Bombyx mori: one gene and its partner. Each later gene encodes a partner of the first gene's protein in a complex. Links are inferred from orthologs where the notes say so. Each region holds a gene or a part of one and is shown on either strand. Other genes may lie near its edges.

Evidence for each region.
Region 2: the proteins of endoribonuclease Dcr-1 (region 1) and Loqs are in contact, whole or in part, in a cryo-EM structure (PDB 8DGJ), measured with the Drosophila melanogaster proteins. The link is inferred for Bombyx mori from reciprocal best matches to the Drosophila melanogaster genes Dcr-1 and loqs. Residues at the interface, in NP_524453.1 of Drosophila melanogaster: His245, Phe248, Asp251, His252, Arg253, Asp255, Glu258, Ile259, His303, Tyr306, Gln307, Glu310, Lys311, Lys313, Arg320, Leu323, Cys326, Leu327, Ser329, Thr330, Ile333, Gln334, Tyr336, Ser337, Leu338, Glu340, His341; in NP_609646.1 of Drosophila melanogaster: Thr358, Gln359, His360, Ser361, Lys363, Val364, Phe367, His368, Lys372, Ile414, Glu415, Glu416, Lys417, Thr418, Phe419, Gln422, Gln424, Pro433, Val434, Gly435, Val436, His438, Ser440, Asn454, Tyr458, Ile461, Met462, Lys464, Lys465.

Annotation. Positions count from the first base shown.
Region 1 is NC_085117.1:4,311,992-4,315,933, reverse strand, and holds the start of endoribonuclease Dcr-1, read right to left. Parts: upstream 2,829-3,942; 5' UTR 2,207-2,828; intron 1,760-2,206; coding exon 1,611-1,759; intron 1,198-1,610; coding exon 1,038-1,197; intron 309-1,037; coding exon 183-308; intron 1-182. UniProt on the Drosophila melanogaster protein: Endoribonuclease which functions in microRNA- (miRNA) gene silencing and, independently of its ribonuclease III activity, also acts in the short interfering RNA- (siRNA) gene silencing pathway.
Region 2 is NC_085114.1:6,389,843-6,392,447, forward strand, and holds part of Loqs (loquacious), read right to left. Parts: intron 2,467-2,605; coding exon 2,336-2,466; exon of another isoform or gene 2,021-2,335; intron 1,903-2,020; coding exon 1,733-1,902; intron 776-1,732; coding exon 641-775; intron 554-640; coding exon 305-553; 3' UTR 1-304.

The DNA of each region.
Region 1 (3,942 bases):
GTTTTCATTATTGTTATTGGATTCGAACACTGGCACATTTGCATTGCTCAATGTACAGGGTGTGTTATCCTTTAGGCCATGAAGACTTTATGTTCTCTGTCTGAACTCTGTATTATCAATACACAATAGGACAGACTTTCAACTAAGCGCAATGAAACTTATATATTTTAAACTTCACTTACATATTTCAAATTCTCGTCGGTCACTATTAAATGACAGCTATCAATTATTAGAACATTAATATTCGCCATTGATATTATTCCCTCTTCTAGAATTCGTTTTAAAACTACTGAAGTGCAGACCAAAACCTGAAATAGAATTATAATATAAAAGCATATTATGTTTTTAAAGTTACTTCACTTTTTTAACTCTTCCTAAGCATCATGACTATGGAAAATTGACCAGAATTGGCCAGAAAATGGGCATAGCAGCATTCTCATATTATTCTTATATTATTCAGTATATTATATACCAGAGTACTGTGACTTCCATTCATTAAAAGTATTCTATGGACTGTGTAAAACAACACAGGCCACCCCTACCGCACTAAATGACTCCCCTGCACTCAACATTAAGTGCTGGCAGTCAACATTAACACAGGCCACCACCCTAGCTCTTTCTGCCAAGAAGTAGTCATGCACTCCAATTGAAGGATGAGGCAGCTTTTATACCATACAACTGAGACTGCGACTTCATGTCTCAAAGTAGGTCATCCGGTAACTACTTCAGCAAGTGGACCATGAGCTTGTTCACAAGTCAACATATTAAAAAAAAAATTGTGATAATTTAAACAAATCTAAGTTGAACTATTTAATATTGAAATTGTTTAACTTGAGGAATGCCTATGTAAGACTAGTTATAACATAAATTGAAAAAGTTATATAAATAGGTAGTTAAGAGTTTTATATGTTCTCACTACCGCTGCCATATGCATGAGAGAAAAAGAAAGATTGATTGGCACCACAACGCGTTACGCAATGATGCGGTTTACCCTCCCATAAGAAGTTATCACTTCAAAATATTTGGACAGTACTTACTTCTTTCTTATCAAGTTCCGCGTACCAATCATACACATCATCGTATTTCTCAGCCTCACACAACGACAAGTCGGTCATAATCCTCAGATCGTAGGCGGTGCATTTTATACGATCCTCTCTTGTCACGTGCACTGATCTCTGCTTATTATCATAGAGCGACCTGGGAATATTGTAAATGAGGCATTTAACTGTTTATTGATTTCTCAGATGGTTAATTTAATGGCTCATTTGACAAGCCTTTCAAAATGAAAGGAAGAAGGAATTATTACTACTTTGTGAAAGAAATAAATTGGAAGCAAACAGTGGAACAAGAATGACATCATCATTGGATATTGGATGAGCATCTCAACACCGAAACTAGAGCACATTTACAGTAGAGAGCCAGTCTGAATACCAATCCTCCTCACATAGTCTGAGCCTGGGCACCCATTAAAATTTCACCTTGATTTCATTTTGACCTTGACACACTCTGTATTAAAAACACTAGAACAACAATCACGTATTTAAATATTTTTAGCAGAATTTGACAGAGCCAAGACAACATTAATTCCACAACACAAATAATACACTCACCCTCGTATCTTATAAGCTTCTTCATAGACCAGCCTGGTTGCAATGAAATTTGAGTATTCCACAGCAAGGGTGTTACGTTCAGATGCAATTGCAGCGAGACGAGCACCCCCTTCAGCTGTGGTAAACTTGTAAATTGATGGCTCCACCATCTGAAATTACAGTTGGTAATTTGCAGTATACATGTATTGTCTTCAAATGTAATGACAAACATCATATTATATTAAAGTACACAATTGGTCTCAAAAATTTTGTTTTATTGTAGATAAAAAGAATATATAATTGTTACCAGCAGATTTGCCTGTATGGCCAAGGAAATGTGACAAGTTTTCTAAAGATAATGACACAGATTCCCCAGAGAATGAGATGTTTTTTTGAATAAAAATGAGCGCTATGTTACTCTTTTAATACAATCAATTTAAATAAAATCATGTCAAACGTGATCTTAATCTTTCTTTTAGCATGAAAGAATAACAAAAAAAAACACTTTCAACGAAATAAAAATAATATGGATTTAATTATCTAGTATTGTGTGAATTTAGTAGTGGATCTAATAACTAATCACTGCAACTACTGTACTCTGGGGGTGATTTTCAAACCTGATCGAAAACATAAGATATTCTGGGTCTGGGTTAGGTTGTTATTGTCTCAAATATTCAGTAAGCAGAGTTCTGAATCGTATCTCTGCTCAAGGTTTTTAAATATGGAACACAATTTAGTTTTAGAACTCGTTAATTATGACCTTATTTATTTATCTTCGAGGATCAGAATGGCGTATCTAAGCAACAGTTAGTTTACTACATAGCACCCAATAAACGTTTTTAAGTGCGTAGGTTAGTTTATCTTAGAGTTGATTTATTTGGTTTTTAAACTTACAGTTACTATTTCGTTTCCTTTAAATATAATTCACGACATAATATACCATTTTTAACAGTTAAAAATAATGAAATAGTATCAAATGCAATTAAATTTGTAATAAACAAAACGTATTTACGAAGTTATTATTTATATTACAGCGATTATAGAAATTATTTCTAGGTAAACGTTAATTTTATGTACAAAAGTAAATTATGTGCATTTGGGTTTTATCCGAGAAACCGTTTATGCATTAATATATTTAATTAATATCATGCAACTCTCCTTTTGCACAACATTTGCCATTTGATTCGCGTCTACTGCAAAATCAGATAACAGTGCTGCCAATGTCTTGAACCTTCGATCAACAATAGTAACTATTGATGATCGAAGTCTTGAACATATAAAATACTAGGTTTCATACTTCAGTGTAAAATACACTTTAATTATGAGCCTTGAAGTAAAAATATTTTTCACTACCTACATGCTTTATTTTGTGACTTAGACCTTTTGGGTTCCACCCAAAAAAAATTACATTTGGTGTCTGTTTTTGTATAGTCATATGAGGTGCTGTGGTACTCCCATTTTCATTAGGATCGATGGCAAGGGCAAGATATAATAAAACAATGTTTTCAAGACATAGCATAAAATATAATAATGATAGATGGTAAAAATGACAATGTGTTCGAAGTATATTTCAAATAATGGAATATGAAAAAGAAGGTTACAACATTCCTCCCCATCTACATCTCGTTGATCAGACGGCGGGGTGCCTGTATACGTCGATTACTTCGACGCGGAGCAAATGGCACAGGAGTGGAGACCGGAGCAGGTGAGGAGTATAACTTCGAATGCTGTGAAGGTGAATTTGGAGAAATTTGTACATTTGTAGGTGACTGCGGTGTAGGTAATGGTACTGCTGCCGAATTCTTGTTTTTAGTTAGCCTTTCGTCAATTGTTGTGTCCATTCCAATGTCTGGAGAAGCAGTCGCCGGCAGCATAGAAGAATGCGCCCTTTCATTCCTCGGGGTTTCTGAGGTGGAGGACTCGCGTGGCCTGATGTGATCAGCGTGTCTTCGTTTTTCTAGTCCTCCTGGTGTTGAAACAATATATGAATATTTATGTTTACGGGATGTAATTACCGCTGGTTCCCATATTTTATCATTGCGTGTTTTAATATATACTTGGTCACTTGGTCGGTAACTCGGTGATGTGGTACGAATGTTTTCTTTTACTTGTAAATACTGCATTAATCTTCTTTTGTCTGGCCGAATGTTGGAAAGTATGCAATTCAATTGTCGTCCAAACATCATCTCAGCTGGAGATTTACCAGTGGACGAGTGCGGAGTGTTTCTGTATGTAAACAAAAATTCTAATAGTCGGCGCTCGAGATTTGTGTTGTCTACCGATGCCATTCTATTTTTGAATGTTCTGACTAAACGTTCTGCCAGCCCATTTGTTCGAGGATGATATGGAGATG
Region 2 (2,605 bases), on another chromosome or scaffold:
GCTATAAGTTTCAAACTGCCTACCATAAATTAACCAAAAAAAAAAAAACAAGTTGGTTACTGCAAACATGCCAGTTATAAAGCATAGCCCAAAGTACTATTGGTACATAGATGCGTACTATTAATGCCATTATTCATATGGAAAGTGATGCAACAATATGAAGGCTCAAAACCTAACGACATCAATACAAAACACATAGTGATATGGCCTGCATTAAAATTAAATCTCATAACGTTAGAGCCCATAGATCAAATGCATAGGTCGTCGCACTGGTCTTTGCTGATGTCGTAAGATGTTGAAAATTTCACTTTTTGGTCATAATCTTGAGATACTCCAAGGCGTTCTGAGCAGCAGATGACTGGGCATCCTTGCTGGTGAGGCCGGCTCCGTGGCATACAGCTACTGGCAATGTGGAAAGCTGGACAAGACACTGACATAGACCAGTCATAGACTTTTCTTCTATGTCGACATAGGTCACCTCAAAAGATTGCTCTGATGCTATTTCTTGCAAGAACTGAACGAAGTTAAAATCCTTATTGTTTAGTGGTGTCACCTGTTTTATAATTAAATAAATTAATATTTCAAATGACAACATTCATGCCAAAAATTGATACTTTCATGCAAAACAACTGTTTCATACCTGCAACTTGGCCAGGTTGGGGCCAACAGACTGTTTGAGATGTTTGTGGAACTGCGACACTTTATGGCTATGGCTCGTGGTCAATGTGGAGATTTTACTATCTTTCAAATCGGCATAACGGGCCGCAACACCGCCCTATAACATAAAAAAAAAACTTTTATTGTCAACCGACTCTTCTGTTGTTTCAGGCCTGTAACCTAATCGAAAGATAGTAAAATACCTGGCCAAGTGCGAACAACAATAACAATTTTAGGGGAATGTTCCAAAAATCAATTGATGGATATTGACAACTATTACATGAAGTTAATTATTTATAATAATTGAAATAAACTGTTGATGGTAAGTACATTCAAACAACACCAAGACAACTTATCAAATAATTGTAATTAATTTTCAGGTAATTATTCTGTTGATACACAAGGCATTATATTACACTCTGGCTTCACAATTTTTTTTAACTGACTATAAATTATTCCTCTTTTTTCATACATACAAATACCAATTTTACTAGTAAAAAAACAAACTGCTATTGCCAGTCTGGCTCATATACTTTTATTATTAATAAAACTTATCTAGCCTCAATATGGTTGAATCAGACAGAGAACATGAAATATGAACTTTAACATATGCATTCGGAGTTACAAGTCTAACAGGCAAATCACCTAGTACTCTGAAGTTACTTTTAAAGTTCCTGAGTAATATTAGACCTTGAGTCCGCGCGGGTTTGTACCACTACCCTGCTTATTTCTGCCGTGAAGCAGTAATGCGTTTCGGTTTGAAGGGCGGGGCAACCGTTGTAACTATACCTGAGACCTTAGAACTTATGTTTCAAGGTGGGTGGCGCATTCACGTTGTAGATGTCTATGGGCTCCAGTAATCACTTAACACCAGGTGGGCTGTGAGCTCGTCCACTCATAGAAGCAATAAAAAAAAAAAAAAAACTTTTTAGTTTTAGTTGTGTTATCAATGTCATCAAATTGTGAATACAAGCCCTTAATCAAGCAGTTCCATTTCAGCATCGGAAACAGCTCCCTTATATCCTATATTGAAGTGAGTTTATGCGATATAGTAGTAAAATTAATATTACTTTACCTCATCATCATTCTGGAAGGATTCTGGTGGGTTGTCCTGTAAGGCCTGCCACATCTTGTAGGCAGCTTGCCGTTTAGCTAATTTCTTTGACTTGCCTGTACCAACTTCACGGCGCTTGAGCAATGTGCAAATGATCGTAAATTGACGTTCATGGGGCAAACCTGAAACTGCTACAATTTTTGTAGTATTGTAGACCCACATTCTTATGTTTCACATAAATTTTACTATCAATTATCAATGATTTATTAATATGTAAAATTATATTAATGTAAAAAATATATTTCTTTTCTATTTATTTAGATCTAAATATACTTAAGTATACAGTGTTAGTTGTTATCAAATATTACAAATAAAGTAATAGAAATGTACAACTTCTATTATATTATATCATTTTATAGTTTCCTTAAATAATATACAACATAACATAATAATATAATGGACAACCAAATGACTACAAGAAGACTCAGAAGAATAGTGCATATAATTTATTTTTTTCTCAAAATTATGGTTGAATGTCTAACTTTAAAAAAAAGTCACTTAAGCTAATAAATAAAAAGCCCTTGCTAAAGTAAGTACCTAAGTAAAATTAGTACGAAAACTTACGTCTATTAACATTGTCATCGTTTTCAGCATGGTAAGATGGTGGTGGCCAGAATCGTGACATACACAACTCCTGAAGCCATCCAACAGGATTACCCATTAGTTTATCTTCAAATGTAGGTACTACAGCACCACTAAAATTGTTTTTTTTTTTATATTAATTGCATTGCAAATAATAATAAAAATATTGTGAACAAAATGTTTCAATAAATTTGGATATGTTGATGTCTCCAATGAACTTCAAATTCCTAGGTTTACAGGAGGAGCGTTTAA